Mus musculus: one gene and its partner. The protein of the gene in region 1 interacts with the protein of each later gene in a biochemical or structural test. Links are inferred from orthologs where the notes say so. Each region holds a gene or a part of one and is shown in the gene's direction. Other genes may lie near its edges.

Evidence for each region.
Region 2: the proteins of Cops7a (region 1) and Cops6 form a complex in vitro, tested with the Homo sapiens proteins (3 studies listed by BioGRID, with this or other methods). The link is inferred for Mus musculus from reciprocal best matches to the Homo sapiens genes COPS7A and COPS6.

The regions. Positions count from the first base shown.
Region 1 is NC_000072.6:124,954,437-124,965,173, reverse strand, and holds the end of Cops7a (COP9 signalosome complex subunit 7a), read left to right. Parts: exon of another isoform or gene 1-22; intron 23-245; 5' UTR 246-288; coding exon 289-450; intron 451-786; exon of another isoform or gene 787-891; intron 892-2,476; coding exon 2,477-2,552; intron 2,553-2,727; coding exon 2,728-2,816; intron 2,817-3,813; coding exon 3,814-4,016; intron 4,017-4,977; coding exon 4,978-5,083; intron 5,084-5,223; coding exon 5,224-5,375; intron 5,376-5,536; coding exon 5,537-5,576; 3' UTR 5,577-6,358; downstream 6,359-10,737.
Region 2 is NC_000071.6:138,155,772-138,166,322, forward strand, and holds Cops6 (COP9 signalosome complex subunit 6), read left to right. Parts: upstream 1-5,330; 5' UTR 5,331-5,341; coding exon 5,342-5,411; intron 5,412-5,603; coding exon 5,604-5,726; intron 5,727-5,902; coding exon 5,903-6,034; intron 6,035-6,365; coding exon 6,366-6,454; intron 6,455-6,550; coding exon 6,551-6,613; intron 6,614-6,963; coding exon 6,964-7,011; intron 7,012-7,358; coding exon 7,359-7,473; intron 7,474-7,555; coding exon 7,556-7,648; intron 7,649-7,737; coding exon 7,738-7,838; intron 7,839-7,964; coding exon 7,965-8,105; 3' UTR 8,106-8,213; downstream 8,214-10,551. Other genes in the region: DNA replication licensing factor MCM7, read right to left, coding at 8,948-9,149, 9,281-9,390, 10,139-10,307. UniProt on the Homo sapiens protein: Component of the COP9 signalosome complex (CSN), a complex involved in various cellular and developmental processes.

The DNA.
Region 1 (10,737 bases):
GGAACTCAATGGGGTGCACGTGGTGGGGCTTGGGACTGGGCCCGGGATGACGGAGCGGGTGGGCGTGGCAGCCAGGATGGGGCTGGCTTGGAGGAGCCCTCGAGTTGCCTTTTAGACCTCAGGACCCCACTTACTCACTGCGGATGTGGCGGGGTCCCTCTTGAGCGTGCAGCTCCCGTCCCTTCGAGCTGACCACCCTCGCAGGGTCCAGGGACCTTTAGTTTCACGTTCCTCTTTCCTTGCAGCTCCAGAAATCTTGAGGCCAGAGCCCCGCACCTCGGCGCAGCCATGAGTGCGGAGGTGAAGGTGACAGGGCAGAACCAAGAGCAGTTTCTGCTCCTTGCCAAGTCGGCTAAGGGGGCGGCACTGGCCACACTCATCCACCAGGTGCTGGAGGCCCCTGGTGTCTACGTGTTTGGGGAACTGCTGGATATGCCTAATGTTAGAGAGGTGTGTTGCTTGCCTGGGTAGTCCCCAAAGAACGTTGGGACCAAAGTTAACTCTTGAGTGCTGGGCTCGTTTTTTGTACCCAGTAACCACTCAGGTGATCGGGGTACCGATAATTAGCTCTCAACATGGAAAAATAAATCAATCAAATAAAGGTCTTCATTATCTTACAGATAAAGGGTCTGTAAACTTAGTGCTCCCTCCCTCTGTACCCACACTTTGAGTCAGGATTTCACTGTGTAGTCCTGGCTGCCCTAAACTAGTAACTATGGTCTAAGGTGGCCTTGAATGTGTGGGAAATCCCTGCCTATGTCTCATGCATAATTTTTTTTGTTATTTAAAAATATGGAACGCTTTACAAATTGGAGTGTCGTCTTTGCTCAGGGGCCATGCTAATCTTCTCGGGATCGTTCCAGTTTTAGTATATGTGTTGCTGAAGCAAGCAGAAATCTTTAATTTTGAAGCAAAAGAACAAGTCATTAAGAATACCACTGATAAACTCCAGCTTGTCCACCAGTATGATATCTTTTTGTGTTGGTTTTTTTTTTTTTTTTTTTTTCAGGACAGGGTTTCTCTATGTACTATAACTGTGTTCTGGAACTCTCTCTGTCGACCAGGCTGGCCTTCAACTCAGAGATCCTCTGCCTCTTCCTCTCGAGTGTTGGGATTAAAGACTTGTGCTACCATGCCTGCCTAGTGATACCTCTTAATAATCCTGTCACTAACATTTGGGAGGTAGAAAGAGTTGGATCTCTGAGTTGTAGGTCAGCCTGGTCTACAGATTGAGTTCCAGGACAGCCAGGGCTACACAGAGAAACCCTATCTTAAAAACAAAATAAGTCAGAAAACCTGGATCAGAAAACCCTCAGTTTTCTCTTTAAAATGGTGGTGAGAATCTAACTGCTGATAGAGTAGTTGCTTAGCACTTGTGAGGCCTTGGCTTCGATTTCGGAACTTGGGATGCTGAGATAGGGGACCACAACTTTTTAGATCAGCGTGGGCAACTTAGACTCCATCTCAAAAAGGAGTGGGGGTCTTTTCAGTGAAAGAGCCCTTGTCTGTAGTTTGCAAGGCTCAGTATAGGTTCAGTTCTCAGAACTGCAATGAGGAAAAACCTAAAAAAGCACACAGTTCCCTTCACGGTTACAGAAGTAACATTGTGGGGAAGTCTAAAGTCCCCTGAAATCAGAAAGAATGAGCATATTGAATTATGCCATGGTACCCCACCCCACCCCCAAAGTGTCACACATTCTGATTCATTTAAGGTAGAAAATGAAGATGCTGTCTTCTGCCCTAAGACGGTAGCAAAGCTATGAACACAGTAATGAGAACCACTCACAGAAATGGCTGCGTCAAGAACTTAGAAAGCATAGAGCAGGTGGATTGCCACTCTCGTGACACCAGCCTGTCACGAGAGCCTGACCGAAGTGTGTGGCTAAACTGAGCCAAGCATTAGAAGACCTTTGGTTGAATCAGGATAGAAAGTTACTTTGACTGCTGTTTTACAAAACACTGGCTTTTGTTGCTGATTTTATCCACAGTAAACTGAAGTATATCGTTAGGATGAAGTAGATGCCAGTGAAAGAGATCAGATAAGTGAATGAAAATATATGTCAGCAAGTCAGCCATTTATCAGTTATTTACTGCGAGGGCTGCAGCTCTGCTGGGTCTAATGCCTTGTTAAAAGACTGTTAAGTGAGAACCTACAGGGATGGTATGCCAGGATAAGTGGGGGTGACAGGAAGGGAGATGCTGTGGATGAAGTAAGCCCTCACTATGAGGACATTGCGAAGCAGTGGCCACACTATACCCTCTGGGGGCCACACAGTTTACGATGTCTGGTGTACGCGTGTGCACCTGTAATAGTCACAACACTGAAAGTTTTAAGCTCTGAGAGTAGGAATTAGCTGCTTAGCGCAGCAAAGGGCCAGAGTAGAGATGAGCAGCTGAGGGACCAGGATAGGTACTGTTGGGATGGATGGGGTAAGATCAGGGCCTTCTTGTCACTTCCTCCCTCACGTTCTTGCAGCTGGCAGAAAGCGACTTTGCCTCCACCTTCCGGCTGCTCACAGTGTTTGCCTATGGGACCTATGCGGACTACTTAGGTAAATAGGGGCCAGAGCTGTGGAGACAGGAGAAGGGTGGTTCTGGAGAGACTTGGAAGAAATACCTACTACGATGCCATAAGTGAACCTCTGCAGTGTTAGACCATAATTGGTACAGAAAACTTGTAGGAAACTGCTAAAAACAAGATTCCCGGGCTTCTCTCCCTGTCTCTAGCTGAAGCCAGGAATCTCCCCCCACTGACTGACGCACAGAAGAATAAGCTTCGACATCTGTCAGTTGTCACTCTGGCTGCCAAAGTCAAGGTAAGTGACAGCCTTGCCAGCTGCCAGTCCAAAGCCAGAGACGACCTGTTGTGAATCCAGGGAGTCTAAGGAGAGCCATTGGCCTCCCCTGTCTGGGTCTGAACTGAAACTCCATTTCTGCAGTCACTTAGTTAGGAGTCTGTCAGTTTGAACTGAAGTTCTAAGTCATCGTCTTTTGTGATTGGGGTAAAAATAGCCACTAGAAGGCTGGCCGGCTCATTCATCAGATGGAGTTCCAGGCCAACAGAGCCTCAGAGCTAGAACTGGGGTCCTTCTCTACTTACTATAGTAAGATGTGTGTGACCTACAGTACCTGTGTGCCCCTGTGGGCACAGACTTTTTATATCACATTCTCCCAGTTGTTAACTAGAATTGAGTCCTGGTGATTTTTGCTGGAATTAGGCTTGTGGTTGTAGATTCTTCCCCAAGGTCATTCCAGTTTGTAACATGGCTAAGTCAACATGATAAACAGAAACTCCAGACCCCTCCTATCTATCCTCTGATGTCAAGCTGATCAAAAACAGTTTCCTTAGCTACAGCCAAAGAAATGGCACCAGGAAGATGTCACACTCGTTCTTTCACTATATAGTGGGAGGTGGGCATAGGAGAGCATCTACCACATGTTTTTGGATTGTCCTTTTTGAGTCTGGTGCCGTGTCTCATGTCGGCCCAGCGCTTGGGACTCTGAAGCAAAAGGATTAATGTGAGGTCAAGTCTAGCCTGGACTACATAATGAGTTCCAAGCCAGCCTGGGCTATAGAATGAGACCCTGTGTCAGAACGCCATGAAAGAAAAGGAAGGAAGATTATTCTTTTCTGGTGATGTTTTTGAGGCCGTAATAGGGTTTTGCTTTAGAACCAACATTTTCCAGAAAATGGCTTACGGATAGGAGTGGAGGGATGTGGGCCTGGACATTGGGGAAAAACTGGAAGAGGATTCTGGGAAATCCTCCTCTGCTTTTGAACCCCACAAATTCCGGTCTAACCTCTGGACCCAGTGTATCCCATATGCAGTGTTGCTGGAGGCCCTTGCCCTTCGAAACGTGCGCCAGCTGGAAGACCTTGTGATCGAGGCTGTGTATGCTGATGTCCTTCGTGGCTCTCTGGACCAGCGCAATCAGCGGCTAGAGGTTGATTACAGCATCGGGCGGGACATCCAGCGCCAGGACCTCAGTGCCATCGCCCAGACCCTGCAAGAGTGGTGAGAACTTACTTGTCAGGCCTTGACCCTCCCTTATACAAGCAGGAGAGCAGGGACTGGCTGGGGAGGGGGAGCCTAGGAGAGTGCTTTCTCCTCAGGGTTTCTGAGGGGACAGAGGCTCTAAGGGGGCCCTGGGCGCAGAGTCAGGGTTGTTGGGCAGGAACTGGGCAAAGGAATGGAGCTGTGCTCTTGACTAGCTGGAGGCTTGTCACTGTCATACGCTGAGTTTAGGGCAACTGCACATAATAACACCAGGGGCCGCGATGGGTCTCTTCTCTTCTTTGTATCCCTGTGTAACTTCATTGTGATCTCACTGTGTACCCCAAGCTGGCCTTGAATTGGAAATCTTGCCTCTGCTTCCTGGTTCTAAGCTTACAGGTGTGTGCTGCTGTACCCACCATGCCTGACTCTCCCGTTTTGTTTTCTGGTTCCTGCTCTCATCTTGTTATTTTGATTTCTTTTTAGTTATGTGTGTGTGATAGAGAGGTAGAGGGGTTATAGGTGAGTGTGAGTGCAGCTTCCACCCCTGAGCCATTTCTCCGAGCACTCCACCCCCACCCACCTTGTCCAGGACACTTGCTTATCCCTTTCTTCTCCTGCCCTGGGGTTTGCTGAGGAGAAAGAATCCTGTTGTAGCCGGGCGTGGTGGTTCACGCCTTTAGTCCCAGCACTTGGGAGCCAGAGGCAGGCGGATTTCTGAGTTCGAGGCCAGCCTGGTCTACAGAGTGAGTTCCAGGCCAGCCAGGACTACACAGAGAAACCCTGTCTCAAAAACAAAACAAAAAAGAATTCTGTTGTAGCTAGTTCCCAGGTGCCCTGGCGAGAGCTGCCAGCTCAGGCGAGGGTTTTCAGTCCAGCCTAGAGGCCAGCTTTTGAGACTTTTGCTTTTGTTTGCTTTGTTTTTATGAGGCTGTGATGACTGCCGCCTCCTGCTGACTTCTCATCTGCCTGCTTCCCACAGGTGCGTGGGCTGTGAGGTTGTGTTGTCGGGCATCGAAGAGCAGGTCAGCCGTGCCAACCAGCACAAGGAGCAGCAGCTGGGCCTGAAGCAGCAGATCGAAAGTGAGGTGAGCAGACAGGATGGACTGCAGCTCCCCAGCCTGGGTACTCGGGCTGCGATGGGGCTGAGGCCGACTGATAAAATCATCAGGGCCCGTCCGGTTCCAGAACCTCCTTTGGCTATCCCTCATTCCTTTCATCCTGATAGGTTGCCAACCTTAAGAAAACCATTAAAGTTACGACAGCAGCTGCTGCTGCAGCCACCTCCCAGGATCCTGAGCAACACCTGACAGAGCTGAGAGAACCAGCTTCTGGCACCAACCAGCGCCAGCCCAGCAAGAAAGCCTCCAAGGGCAAGGGGTGAGCCCATGCGGGAGCCACTTGTCTCTGGGTACCCCACTTTTACCTCAGGGACCTGGCTGCTCCACTGCTTTAGTCATTTGCATGGGGTCGGGAGTGGGGGTGTCCTCTAGGAATTAGGGGACCCCTTGCATCCCCTCTCTCTCTCTTCCCCTTGCCAGACTCCGAGGGAGCGCCAAGATTTGGTCCAAGTCGAACTGAAAGGACTTGTTTCTTCCCTGGGAATGTGGGGTCCCAGCTGCCTACCTGCCTACCCCTTAGGAGTCCTCAGAGCCTTCCTGTGCCCCTGGCCAGCTGATAATGCTAGTTCATTACTTTTCATCTCCTCCACCCCCAAGCATAAGCCACACCCTCTGTAGGGAGGAGGCCAGTGCAGGTCATGTTCTGTTGGTACCTCTTATGTGTTCCATGCTCTTCCCCAGCACGCTTGCTCTCATCGTTTTTCCGCACTGTGTCTGCCCATTACCCCTGTCATTGAGCAGGTTGGCAGTCCTATGGAGGGTGCTGGCTCTTAACCACCCACACCTACCCCTGCATGCCTAATCTGCAGTTCCTCCTCCTCCCCTTGCCTAGTGGGCTGCATCTGAAAAGCCATGGGGAAGGGGGTCTCCACCTTCATTCCAGCCTTAGAGTTCTGGAGCCAGTCTGCTACCCTGGGAGTCGCTGGACATTTTCCTCCCAGAACCCCATCACACTACAATTGTTTCTTTCCTCTCTCATCTCCTTGGGCCTGGGGATACTGCTGCTTCAGTGACCCCAGAGCCTGAGAACAGCTATTTTTGAGATGTTAAGAAATGGTTCTTTGTTGCTCATCATCTTAGGAAGCCCAATGGAAATCCTGGAAGGATTTATATCTCCTCCTGTGGTTCTGGTGGGGAAGGAAATATAGATTGTATATTAAAAATAAAAAATATATATGAATAGGTCTATATATATTGACACATGACACAGAAATAAATCTATGAGAAATCTATGTACAAAAATGCCAGGAACTGGGCCTCTTCTGTCTTTGATGTTTGTTAACAGGGAGAAGATTAATCCCCAGTCCACTGTAAAGCCAAGTGCCAAGTGAAAAGAACCAGACACTTTGCAGACTCTGGGCCTAGCAGCTAGGAGGCCTAGACCCTGGACAGATTGCTCCATCCCTCAGCCCATGGTCAGCAGTCACGGGCACCTGCTGAACACCGCCATGTCCTAACAATGGAGATGCAGACACCATCACTGACTGTCCTGCCCAAGGACCTGCAGTGTGGTCTGCTTCCTGTCACCTCAGAGAATCACAAGGGAGGTGTTGGTAGTGAACTTGACTTTTGACATTGAAAGCACATAAAACGATTAGATTTGTTGGTCTCTGTCCCTTTTGTCCAAATTAAAAGAGTTTCCAAGAAGTATGTATGCCAGGAGATTGGCCTAGAGTGCTCCTTGCCCCTAGAGGCAGGAAGTACTAACTTGAAGCACAATTGAACCCTCACTCAAGTGTGAAGTGCTGTCCGAGAGCCTAGTGGGTCTAGTGTTGACTGGGCCTGGGCTTTTTTCTAGCTGGGGATTCAGGACAAATTTCTTCCTCCCTCCCTCCCTCCCTCCCTCCCTCCCTCCCTTCCTTCCTTCGAGACATGGTCTTTCTATAGCCCTGGCTCTCTTGAAATGCACTCTGTAGATCAGACTGGCTCAACTTAAGAGATTTACCTACCTCTGCTCCAGAGTGCTGGGATTAAAGACATGTAACCACCATGCCTGGTTATAGACAAATTACTCTTAACTGCTTCCAAAGCTTGCTGTCATTAGACCAGAAAGTAGGGGCAAAGTCCTGGTGGTGGTTTGGTGTGTGTGTTTGGGGGTTGTTACTGTAGTTCTGAGACAGTCTTGTATTTCAGGATGGCCTTGGATTCAGGATGCCATCTTCCCTCCAGCAGAGCACTGGGATCACAGGTGTGCACCACCAAACTTGATTTAGTTTACACTCTTGGCTCTTAGCTTTCTGAAATAAGCTAGTTGATTCTCTTGCCTCTGAAATCGACGCCAGTTTCTGATGTTTTGAGCTACTCCTCAGATCCCTTTTAATCTAGTTAAATCTTTTCTTGTAGGTTGGTTCCAGACCAGCCTACAGTTAACAGCTCTAAAATCCTCTGCCTGGCTTTATTCCTAAGGAAGAGGGGGACTGTTGATACCTGTCCCTCACAGCCCAGTGCAGTGTGGTTTTTATGCTCCAGGAGGCCTCCTGCTTCCGGGACATAGGGGAAGGGAGGATAATTGCTGGGGAAGAAGTGAGTGCTCAGTTGGTTTTCGTTTCTGTTTTGGTTTTGGTTTTTCAAGACAGGGTTTCTCTGTGTAGCCCTGGCTGTTCTGGAACTTGCTCTGTAGACCAGGCTGGCCTCGAGCTTATAGAGATCTGCCTGCCTCTTACTCCCTAGTGCTGGGATTAAAGGTGTGAGCCACCACGCCTGGCTAAATTAAAAAAAAAAAAAAAAGATTTATTTACTTATATGTAAGCACACTGCAGCTATCTTCAGACACACCACAAGAGAGCATCAGATCTCATTATGGATGGTTGTGAGCCATCATGTGGTTGCTGGGATTTGAAGTCATGACCTTCAGAAGAGCAGTTGGCACTTTGAACCACTGAGCCATCTCTCCAGCCCTAAATTTTTAATTTAATGTGTGTGTTTGCTTGCTTCTATCTGTGCAACATATGTGTGCCATAGTGGTGCCAGCAGAGGCCAAAAGAGAGCCTCAGATACTAGGACCTGGAGTTACAGAGTTCTGAGCCACTGTGTGGGTGCTGGGAATAGAACCTGGGTTCTCTGCAAGAGCAGCAAGTGCTCCTAACTGCAGAGTCTCTCTCCAGATCCTCCCTAGAAAACCTTGAAATTTTAAAACTAGAAATTAGCTTACAAAGTACTGGGTTTCCATAGGTTTTTTATCTGGGTTTTTGGTTTCACTGTGTGATGGAAATTGCTCCCCACCCATTGCTCTGCTCGGTCTGTTTAGTTTGCTTTGGTTGGAGAAGGATTTCCGGACTGTCTTCTGTCTCCAAGTGCTGGGACTATAGGTGTGGGTCGCCACGGTACATACCTACAGTTGGTGTTTTATAGAGTTTTTTCCTTTGTCCTTTGAAACAGGATCTTGCCATATAGCAGAAACTGACCTGGAGCTTCCTATGTGGTAGTTATAAAATTCTGTTAGAGATCAGAAATTCCAGAGATGGGAGACATGGCTCAGTGTTTAAGAGTGCATACTACTCTTGCAAAGGACCCAAGGTGGATTCCCAACCCCCATAATACATGGCTTACAACTGCCTGTAACTTCAACTCCATGAGGGTTTAATGATTGGCACCTGCATTTGCTTGAACAGAGGCGCACACTTGTCCACAATAACAACTCAAGAAAATCCCATGAAATCCATACATTAAAAGGCAACAGACTCCTAGGTGGGAGGGAGATTTTTCTCCACTTGGGTGAGTAGTCTAACGGGTTGGTAGAGTGGAGTGTAGGAAGACATAAAGCATTCTGTCACCGTGTGCGGGAGACCAGCCTGAACTGTAAGAAGCTTACGGCAGCATTTTCACTAGGCATGGTGGTGTGTGCCTGCAATCCCTGCATTTAGACGCTGAGGCAGAATTGCTACAAGTTTGAGGCTAGCCTGGGCTACATGGTACCAGGCTACCCAGGTCTGCGTAGCAACCCCTTGTCTCAAAACAGAATCCCTCAGCATATTGTCGCTGGGGTTGTATGGTAAGAATTCTCACTTCAGTGTTTCTCACAAGGCTGCAATTAAGTTGTGAGCCAACAGGCTTGAGTGTAACTCAGTGGAATAGATGCCTGATCCGGGTTTGATCTCCAGTACCATAAAAGGTAATAGCCCATCATTTCCACCACTGGGCCACCCAATCTGTTTTCAGGAGGGTGGGAGAAAGCAGGAAGCATAGGCAGCCACTATGAAAAGTGCTAACTGGAGGCCACCAGCAACCAAGTTCCTACATAAACCAAATGGTGGTACTGTACACCTTTTAATTCCAGCACTGGGAAGGCAGAGGCAGGTTCTAGGACAGCTGGGACTACACAGAGAAACCCTGTCTCAAATTAAAAAAAAAAAAAAAGTCTTATGACTTTGGTACACTCACATGCACATGGTACTCACTTGTGCACATACACACACTAAACATGCTAGAATCTCTAGGGTGTGTTTTCCACCCTCGGTGGCTTTCAGGTCTAAGCTGTGGAGTCCTGAGAAGGAAGCACTCTTGCCCAGACTAGTGATAACCTGGAACTGAAGCTGATAACTGCAGGGCTCTGGAGAAGAGGGAAAGGCTGGGCCACCATCTGGGGTGAGTCAAGGTGACTGAGTGCGGAAAGTGAGCAAGACAGGACTTGTCTTCCGCTGGTGCTAAGTGTGTGGTTATAAGAAGGCCTGCGTGCTAAGACATAGTGGAAGAGCTAAAAAATGGTTGCCCAAGAAGCCACATCTTGCCTGAGGTCAAAAAACAAAACAAAACCCAACAAAGGATATGGCTTTTAAGCAAACTGGAGACTGCAATGGAGAGAGCAGAGGAGGAGGAAATGGGCCATCCTGGGAGGAGCAGCAGGGTGAGTCCCTGCTCACAGAAGGGTTAACCTGCAGCCCTCTCGTGCTCCTCCAGAGACGGGTGGACAACCCTGTCCAGTCCTTTCTCTCTCTCTCTTTTTTTTGTTTTGTTTTTTTGAGACAGGGTTTCTCTGTGTAGCCCTGGCTGTCCTGGAACTCACTCTGTAGACCAGGCTGGCCTTGAACTCAGAAATCCGCCTGCCTCTGCCTCCCAAGTGCTGGGATTAAAGGCATGCGCCACCATCGCCCAGCTCTCTCTTTATTTTAATCTGAAAGTTGGTGTAGTAGAAACAATTTATGATTATCCCCGACTGGCTTACCAACAAGTGACACTCAGACCATAGCTGTTTTATTTGGCTTTGACAATTATTGAGAGGGTCATCCCTAGTCTACTTTCTAACTGCTGGCCTGGCCGCCTCCCAGTGTGCCCCAAACCTTTGGTGGCCACATGCCCATGGTTCATCTCCCATCATAGCGCCTTCCCTTCCCTCTCACCCTCATCGTCCTCTCTCCCCACTTCTGGTTTCACCTCCAACTAGCTAACTCAAAAACCCACTCACCTCCAATCCCTCCAGTAATTGGGTACAGCCAATGTTATTTAACCAGTAGTTTTAAATTAAGGAACAAGGTTTGCACAACAAAAGCCTGCAAACTAGACTTCACTCTTAGGCCCTGACCTTCAGGTACAGAATTTAGCATTACAATACAGAGCAGCTGACCAAACCACCACAGTTGGTGACTGCATAGTGACTGAAAAGCCCAAAATTGTAAAGAACATGT
Region 2 (10,551 bases), on another chromosome or scaffold:
CACCCAGGACAACAAATGCCCACTTGCTCTCTCTAGGAAAATGGGAGGTCTTCATCTCTCGATGGTACGCTGATGGTGCTGTTCTCGATGGTGCTGGGAAACAAGGGCACCAGACTGCGCCACTTGCTGGCCAGGTTGGGAAGGGACGATGCGTAAGCTGAAGAAGTTGGAGGTCCAGGAAATTCAGGGCACAAGTTCTAGTGGCTCTGAGAGAGAGAGTACACCATCACCTCCATAGCAAGAGAGAGAGTACACCATCACCTCCATAGCAAATATATGAAACTTGAAGAATCCTTTAATATAAATGTGCACCATTGGCTGGTCGTGATGGCGCACGCCTTTAATCCCAGCGCTGGGGAAGCACAGTCAGGCAGATCTCTGTGAGGCCAGCCTGGCCTATGATACAAAACAAAACAAACAAACAAAAAAATAAATAAATAAAAGTGCACCATGGGTTTTGGTTTTTGTTTTGTTTTTCTGGTTTTTTTTTTTTTAAGATTTATTTTATTTATTATATGTAAGTACACTGTAGCTGTCTTCAGATACCAGAAGAGGGAGTCAGGTCTTGTTACAGATGGTTTTGAGCCACCATGTGGTTGCTGGGATTTGAACACAGGACCTCCGGAAGAGCAGTCAGTGCTCTTAACCACTGAGCCATGTCTCCAGCCCCCGTTTTTGTTTTTTTTTTTTTTTTGTTTTTTTGTTTTTTTTTTTTTACTCATCAATTTTTCTTTAATTATTTTGAACATTCTCACTAATTAAGAAAATATTTTATTTCAAAACTTCTTATAGTAGAAAAAAGGATTACCTTTTTAACATGATTTCTCCACTGCTTGATAAGTATAATAGTTATATTTTTAAAATTTGGAATTTATGTTGGTGCTAATGATATTATATCCAAAATAGCACCATGGGTTTTTTTTTAAAGCACTCAGCACTCAGTTTTTAAAAGATTTATTTTAACCAGGCAGTGGTGGTGCACGCCTTTAATCCCAGCACTTGGGAGACAGAGGCAGGTAGATTTCTGAGTTCGAGGCCAGGCTGGTCACAGAGTGAGTTCCAGACAGCCAGGGCTACATAGAGAAACCCTGTCTCAAAAAAAGCAAGACAAAAAATTATTTTAATAGATTTAATATTTATTTGAAGATTTAGTATTTTAATGAGTGTTTTTCTCCTGCATACACACACACATACACACACACCTGATTCAGATATAGGTCAGATGAAGCCATCACATCTTCTGGAACTGGAGTTACGGTAATGAGTGGCCATATGAGTGCATGGAATCTGGGTCCTCTGGAAGAGCAGCCAGTACTTTTTTTTTTTTTAAAGATTTACTTATTATTATTATTATATCTAAGTACACTGTAGCTGTCTTCAGATGCCCCAGAAGAGGGCGTCAGATCTCATTACAGATGGTTGTGAGCCACCATGTGGTTGCTGGGATTTGAACTCAGGATCTTCGAAAGAGCAGTCAGTGCTCTTAACCACTGAGCCATCTCTCCAGCCCACAGCTTTGCTTTTAGATTGCTTGACTAGCCTGGCTGAAGCCCTGGGTCCCCATCCCCAATGGTGCATAAACCAGACAATATGGTACAGTACTGTATTCCTAGCATTTGGGAGGTGGTGGCAGGAAGATCAAGGACTCAAGTTCGTTCTTCAGTACATACTGAGTTCAAAGCCAGCTTGGGCTACATGAGACACATAAGTGATTCTGCACTTACGAGCCTGACGTGGGGTACACATCTGTAATTGCAGTACTTTAGAGCCTGAAACAGAAAGATAGTCAAAAGTTTGAGGCCAGCCTCAATTGCACACTAAAACTCGGTCTCAAAACAAATGATAATAATTAACAAACACATATTTAAAATGAGCTTCCTATAAAGGCTCACATTTGGGGTTCAAGAGGTACCCTGAGACATATTGTGGTTTGGGGGTAAACAATTTATTTTAAGCATTATTAATGCTACAGAGATTGTGCTGGAAGTTGTGAAGAGATTTCAGGCCGGGAGACTAACAGGAGTAAGGAGTACTATTGCATCTTACAGGTTTTAGAGAGGTAGGTAACCCCATTCCATGTCATGAATGACTAGTCAATAGTACACGATAGAGGCACGCACTCTTATTCCAGGACTGGAGTTCATTTCCCAGTACCCATGTCTGTACACTCACAACCACCTATGACTCTAGCTCCAAGGGAAAGAGGAAAAGTTTGTTTCTTTAGCTAATGCGTGTCTATCATATGAGATGTGCCGCCTGTAACCGCCGATTGCTGGGGTTTGGTGCACCGCCTTAGGGGAAGTGAGGATTGCAGACTGGTCAGAGTTTATTTTTTATTTTTTGCAGAAGCTGTGAGGATGAAGAAAGAGGCTCTGCAAGTCAGTATAGCCTGACTAGTCCTAAGCCCAAGCCTAACATGTTCCAATAGACTCTTTTACTTAGTCAATTAATTAATTAAACAGGGTATCATTCTGAAACTCTAGCTGTCCTCTGACCTATGCTGGGGTATGCACATTATACACACACATACACACACACTTACACACTCAAAATAGAGTAAAAAACAAAGGTGTTCTTCTATACACTATTATTGTTTTGTTTTTCTTTCTTTCATTCGTTTTGTTTGTTTGTTTGTTTGTTTGTTTGTTTGTTTTTCGAGACAGGGTTTCTCTGTGTAGCCCTGGCTGTCCTGGAACTCACTCTGTAGACTAGGCTGGCCTCGAACTCAGAAATCCTCCTGCCTCTGCCTCCCAAGTGCTGGGATTAAAGGTGTGCCCCACCACACCCAGCTTGTTTTGTTTTTCGAGGCAGGGTGTCTTAGTCAGGGTTTCTATTCCTGCACAAACATCATGACCAAGAAGTAAGTTGGGGAGGAAAGGGTTTATTCAGCTTACACTTCCACATTGCTGTTCATCACCAAAGGAGGTCAGGACTGGAACTCAAGCAGGTCAGGAAGCAGGAGCCGATGCAGAGGCCATGGAGGGATGTTCTTTACTGGCTTGCTTCTCCTGGCTTGCTCAGCCTGCTCTCTTATAGAACCCAAGACTTCCAGCCCAGAGATGGTCCCACCCACAAGGGGCCTTTCCCCCTTGATCACTAATTGAGAAAATATCCCACAGCTGGATCTCATGGAGGTACTTCCCCAACTGAAGCTCTTTCTCTGTGATAACCCCAGCCTGAGTCAAGTTGACACATAAAATCAGCCAGTACACAGGGTTTCTCTGTGTAGCCCTGGCTGTTCTGGCATTTGGTTTGTAGACCAGGCTGGCCTCAAACTCCAGAGATCTGCCTGCCTCTGCCTCCGGAGTATTAGGACTACAGGTGTGTTCCACCACTGCCTGACTTTTTAATACATTATTAAAATCTGCAAAAAAAAAAAAAAATCATTCCAAGACAGATGAAGGGAACCCAGCTTTCCTTGAGCTCTAGACAGGGGTTGAGTGTTTTAAGAATATTGTTAAATTGCTGTTAGCACTAATGATGACCTTCCCTTCCTTCAGTTTTTCCTCTAATGGAAATCTCTTTAGGTTTATAGTATAAAAACTCCCAAGGTTTATTTTCATGTAACTAACCAAAGACATTGGGAATAGGGCAACTTAACTATCTAATTATCATCTATTGTACCCATCTCTCTCACTGTCCAGGCTGCCCTGAGGAAAAGGACTGTCAGTCTCATAAGTTAGCTAGATGACCCTTAGACTAGCACCAGCAATCTGGGACACACAACAGAAGTCTTGAGACAGCTGTGTAAAGATTGAAGCTGATTTTCCAGTGTATTTGACATAGTTGTTACCAGATATTTTGCTGTCATAGACCCCTATGAAATGTAGATGAACCTGAAAGCATTTCCAGCGTGACAGGAAGGGAGCCCTTTCCCTAGTGGAAGGACTACTGCGAATCAGTGCAAAGCCATGATTGGTCCAAAGCACATACTTCAGTGACTGTGATTAGTAAAAAAAATAAATAAATAAAAATAAAAAGTAGCCCGGGCGGTGGTGGCGCACACCTTTAATCCCAGCACTTGGCAGATTTCTGAGTTCAAGGCCAGCCTGGTCTACAAAGTGAGTTCCAGGACAGCCAGGGCTATACAGAGAAACCCTGTCTCGAAAAACCAAAATAAAAATTTAAAAAAATGGCTGTTATTGGCCCCAAATGAATGATTGTGGACCAAATACTCTTTCTTGGCTATTTAAGCAGGTCGCTTAGCCTTAGTTATTGTCCAAGTAGGAAACGTTTTCTTTTATTTTTATTTTTATTTTTATTTTTTTTATTTTGGAACTCACTCTGTAGACCAGGCTGGCCTCGAACTCAGAAATCCGCCTGCCTCTGCCTCCCAAGTGCTGGGATTAAAGGCGTGTGCCACCATGCTGGGCAAGTAATTGTCTTTTTTTTTTTTTTTTTTTTTTGGTTTTCTTTTTTGTTACAAGTAATTGTCTTAATCACTGTTCTATTGCTGTAAAGAGACACCATGACCAAGGCAACTCTTCCCCTCCCCCCACCTTTTTTTTTTTGTTTGTGCGACAGGGTTTGTTTGTGTAGCTTTGGCTGTGATGGAACTCACTTTGTAGTCCAGGCTGGCCTTGAACTCATGAGGTCTGCCCGCCTCGATTAAAGGCTGTGATTAAAGGCGTGGGCCACAAGCCCTCCCAATAGCAGTTGCTAAGTTGTGTAAAGAGGTTGTCTTGAAACTGAAGAAGCTGAACAATTCAAGAGTAATTACTACTGGGGAGATGGCTCAGGGGATGAAGTGTTAGGACCTGAGTTTAGATCCTCAGTACATCGTTTTAAAAGCTAGGCATGCTGGGTATGGTACACACCTTTAATCTCAGCATTCAGGAAGGAGAGGAAGGCGGATCTCCTAGAAGTCTGCCTAGACGAATAGCAAGTTCCCACCAGCTGGCCAACATTGTAAGACCCTATCTCAACAAACAAGTGATCAAGTCTCTATAGATTATATGCAACATGAAAAATTTTATATCCTGAATAAATTGTCTTCCCCATTCCCTTTTACAGCCTTTCCTCCTTTTGATCGCAATTTTCTCTGTGTTTAGTATTGACAGTGTATCCACTTGAGACCTGGAAACTAATAGCCCTCCTTGGGAGGTAAAGGCAAGAGGATCAAAGTTCAAAGCCATCTTCAGATACACACTACAGAACTCATGGCCAGGCTGGTTTACATGAGAACCGCTAGCAGCAGCACAACACGCAGAGCACCCTGAGCTACTAAGTACTGGCAGCTGCCCCGCCCATTAGCAGCACCAAGTATACACTGAGCATGCACCGCTCCCCGACGGAAGCCGAGAAGGAAAGGGGCGGGCCGTGGCTGGCGGGCGCGGGGAAAATGGCGGCGGCAGCTGCGGCGGGGGCGAATGGGAGCGGAGGCAGCAGCGGCATGGAAGTGGATGCAGCAGGTAACGGGGTGCGCAGACCGACTTCTGGAGTTGCCCTTGAGAAGTGGTCTTGAGTACTTCTTAAACCTGTCCCAGGATAACTTGAGGGCAGCGATGGACGGCCGGGCTCTGCTGGTCCCCTGCTTCCATGTCTAGGGGAAAATGTGTGGGCCCGAGCTCTCAGCCGCTATGTTTTCCTTTCACCTTTAACAGTCCCCAGCGTGATGGCCTCCGGAGTGACTGGGAGTGTTTCCGTCGCTCTTCATCCCCTTGTCATCCTTAACATCTCAGACCATTGGATCCGCATGCGCTCCCAGGAGGGGCGGCCTATGCAGGGTGAGTGTTGTGTGTAAATCTCAAAATCTCTTGGAGATTTCCTCCAGTCACTCCCCTGCGCCCTTTCTTCCAAATTATTGTTTCCCCAGTCGTTGATTCACGCCGACTCGGGAAAGGTTTTCCGAGACGCCTGTTCCTCACCTAGTTTCCTTGCGCTTCTGTTTCTCTCCCCTTAGTGATTGGGGCTCTGATCGGGAAGCAGGAGGGGCGAAATATCGAAGTGATGAACTCCTTTGAGCTGCTGTCCCACACCGTGGAAGAGAAGATTATCATTGACAAAGAATATTATTACACCAAGGAGGAGCAGTGTGAGAGGGGAATAGAAGTGGGTGGGGAAGGAAAAGTGGGAAGATTTTTGTTTTGTTTTGTTTGTCTTAAAGAATAAAAGGCCTGAGGATGTAGGGCAGTGGGGTAAAGTGCATTTCCTAACATTCGGGAAGACCAGAGTTCAATCCTCAGTACCATATAACCCAGGAGATAGAGGCAAGAGGTCAGAAGTTCAAGGTTAGTTAGGTGTAGTTATTTTAAACTGACCCAAAATATGAGGAGGGAGGGGAGAACCGGAAAGAACACACCAGGCCCATCAAACTAAGGAAGAGAGGTTTAAAGGAATATTTACTCTGGCCCCTTCTTCTCCAGTTAAACAGGTTTTCAAGGAGCTGGAGTTTCTGGGTTGGTATACCACAGGGGGGCCACCTGACCCCTCAGACATCCACGTCCATAAGCAGGTATAGAAGCTCAAATATGTGCATGTTGGGGAAATGAACAGAAGGTTAGGGGAAGAGGAGATACTGACTCTTCCTGGGCTTTGCCTTATCTTCTAGGTGTGTGAGATAATTGAGAGTCCGCTCTTTCTGAAGTTGAACCCTATGACCAAGCACACAGATGTGAGTGTTGTTGACCCAATGTCCCCTTTTTCTTGATCATCTGCCACTATGCCTTTGCTCTAATTTACCGACATTATGTGTATTAGAGAAAGCTTGAGTTGAATCTCTACCCTGCTGTTTACACCCATCAGTTGTGTGACTTCATCTCTTCAGTGGTGTTTCCATATGTAATGTGTGTAAAACCTAGAGAAAGCATGAGCCAAGTGTGGTGACAACACTTGTAACCAATCTTAGCACTCAGGAGATTGAGGCAGGATTGTGAGTTCAAAGCCAGCCTGGCATGTGTGTAAGTTCAAGTGCATTTGCTTTTAGTAAGAGCTGTTCTCTTGTCTCCGTCTGTGTTTTTACAGCTTCCTGTCAGCGTTTTTGAGTCTGTCATCGATATAATCAATGGAGAGGTAATATATAACCTGCAACCTTCAAACCTTTTAGCCTGTTTCCTGCATGCCGTGTGCAGGCATAGGACAACCCTGGGTGTCCATCCTAGCTTTCTACCTTGGGACAGACTCACTTGTTTGCCAGGCAGGTTGGCCTGTGAGCTTCTGGGAATTGTGTCTCCACTTCCCATCTTGCTGTAGGGGTTCCAGGATTACAGTCACATGCTGTCACATCTCACTTAATGTGGGTTCCGAGGCTCTAAATTGAGATCCTCAGTTGTGCAGCAAGTACTCTACCTGCTGAGCCATCTGCCTAGGCCTAGGTCTGTTTCCTGACTCTCCCTATCTGAGAACTCTTTACTCTGCAGGCCACAATGCTGTTTGCTGAGCTCACTTACACTCTGGCCACTGAGGAAGCTGAACGGATCGGTGTAGACCACGTGGCCCGGATGACAGCAACAGGCAGTGGGGAGAACTCCACTGGTAAGGGAGGGGAATTCAGTCTTTGGAGGTAGGGGTTGGGTGTGGCCACAGGCCGCCCTTCATTTGCCCCATTCCCCTGCAGTGGCTGAACACCTGATAGCTCAGCATAGTGCCATCAAGATGCTGCACAGCCGTGTGAAGCTCATTTTAGAATATGTCAAGGCCTCTGAAGCAGGTAGGAGAGGTGCCTGTCACTTTGAAACATTTTTCCTCTCCTGGAAAAGTGACAGCATCCACATCAGTGCAGCCTCCTTGTGTCCTTAGGAGAGGTTCCCTTCAACCATGAGATCCTGCGGGAGGCCTATGCCCTATGTCACTGTCTTCCAGTTCTCAGCACTGACAAGTTCAAGACAGACTTTTATGATGTGAGTGTTGACACCTTTGATGGGGAGGTGGGGCTCACACCACCTCACAGGTAGGAGGTGAAACTCAAGTGTCACTGGCTAATACGAGGGACCCCTGGGGAACTGGTTCTTTGTGTTCCCTCCCAGCAATGCAATGACGTGGGGCTCATGGCCTACCTCGGCACCATCACCAAAACGTGCAACACAATGAACCAGTTTGTGAACAAGTTCAACGTCCTCTACGACCGACAAGGCATTGGCCGGCGAATGCGGGGACTGTTTTTCTGATGATGGTTCTGGAAGGGATGGTGTGTGGGGCTCAGACAGCTGTTCCATGGACCTGAGTACCACATTCCCTTTAGAGAAACTCATTAATAAAAGAGCAGCCCCTTAGCAGCCCTTCCAGTGGCTTTGTCCTCTCAGGCACCACACTGGTTTCTCAACATGGACTCTTAAGGAAGCTTCACCCATTAATCCACATTTTTTGACCACCTACCCACCTTTTAATGACTCGAGGTGACCCCTTGTTGAAGTAGACAAAATGTGATAGGACGACCTGCTTGCTTCCAGTTTTTGTGCTCTGTGATCAATTCATGTCACAGCTCCACAGAAAGATTGCTTTCCCAGGCTAATTTAATTTCACTGCAAATGTTTCTCAAATAGGAAGGGGAGGGAAGCTGAATTCCATCTTTGTAATTGTGGTTATCTCAAGTCCTTGTTTTTCTATATCCTGAAGGTACCTAGGAGGGTGATATGTACCTCATCCTTAGGCCTTCCACTTAAGTCATACCTTGTGCTAGGCGCAACTTTCTGCCCTTCACATCCTGGTGTCATCACGTCTAGATGTGGGGGTCTAACAAACGAAATGTCCATAATTGGAAGCATCTCAAGAAACAGTGGTCCCAAGGCCTTCTATCTCCCAGATTGACTAGCACATAGTAAGGGTCAGTACTAGAGACTAGGGGAGGAGAGAGCATACTAAAAACTCTACAGAGTTATTAACAAGCAAGAGGCAATCAAAACACTTTATTGGCAGAATAAAAAAGTGCAGCATGGGAGAATGAGATTTTTTCTTGAGGGGGCATTCAGCATGCCCTCTGGTGTAGGCAGGAGGGTGTAAAAACTGGCTATCAGACAAAGGTGATCCGTGTCCGAGAAGTATTAACCTGCCAGACATTTAGCTCCTCATATTCATCCAGAGCTGCCTGGAACTGGGCTGGTGTGAAGCCACGAGATATGCAGCGCTGTTCAGCCTCAGAAAAGTGGACACTCCGCCCCCGTGACACCAATTCACGGATGGTGGCAAATATCACATCTGCTGGCCTCTGGGTCCTAAAAGACAAGGATGGAAAAGGTGAAGGTGCAAGGCCACAAACAGTAGCAGCAATCAGCATCAAAACCCTGAGGGCAAGCCAGGTCAATAAGCCCAGTGGTCCAGTCTCACTCTTCATTAAAATCCTCACCTAGCTGTCTGTCCCTTTTCACCTAGAAGGGAGTCCTTCGACATCTCCATCAACCTTATGGCTTCATTTACATCTTCCTTCTCCACAATGTCTACCATCCGAAGTCGAGCCTAAGGGGAAGGCATAGAAAAGATTGGGATAGGAGGGGAGGAGGGGAATGAAGTCAAGGATCTTTCTTTGCTCCAGCTTCAAGCCTGGGCAAGCCACATTTGCCTACTCATTGAACAAAAATGGGGACTCCTCCCTGCCCCCCCACATCTGCAGTGTTGGGCCGGCACTGTCAGACCGAGACAAGTGCAATGCCCAGGGCAGCGTCCAGCAATTGCCCAAGTCTCCGCCTCTCAACACTGGCCAGTCCCGGTGGGTGTTCAGCTGTCCTGTGAGGGAGACCAGACCCTTCTGAACTCCACTAGGCTCCCCATCAAACAAATGGAGCCTGGGGCGCTCAGCTAGGGCCACTATCAGAGGTTGTGTCCTGGGGGCTCGGGAAGTGCTAGCTCAGCAGTAGGTCAGGTAATTACACTACCTGCACGAACAGCACTTTGGAGCCCCCATGACTAAGGTCCAAGAGGGGAGGACAGAATGGAGATTTCTAAGATCATATCTAGGACACCAGGAATTCAAGTCCTAGCCCTCATGGATTCAAGCAGCAAGCAGCCTTTCCCTCCATGGGCGTTGCACGTGCCCTGCTGGAGCAGCAAGTACCCACAGTGCGGTAGCACAGAGAGGACCACTATCTGCACTGTCAGCACTTTAGTCCCAGCAGGGCTGGTAGGAGGGAAGGAGGCGGCTTGAGGGTCATTAGGTGAGGTGGCAGGCAGGGGTCAGCTTTCCAGCTGACAGGGACCCACCACTCACCAGAGCAGTGGAAAGTCGGAGAATGGCCAGCAGGGTCCGGGCAGAAGTATAGGTGGCATCCTTACTGGCCCGGGCCTCTCGCCTCATCTCCACATATGCTGCGGTGATGTAGTCAGCCAGAGATTCAGGCACTGTGGGCTGTCTCTCGTGGCACATGGCTATGTACCGTCTGTGGGAAACAAGGTTCATGGGAAAGCGGGAAAGCAGGCAGGCTTTATGAGATTCCCCACTTAATATTCTATGCTGACGTGGACAGTGAGGGATTTCTCCAAAACAGGGCTGCCAGGACACTTCAAGTAACTTCCAACTTTTCAGGAGAATGACATTTACCAAAGCACCTGTAGTGGGAGGATTTAACTTAACCCCTTGACAGACTTCAGAGACCATGTGAAAACCAGTTTAGAAACCCGAGT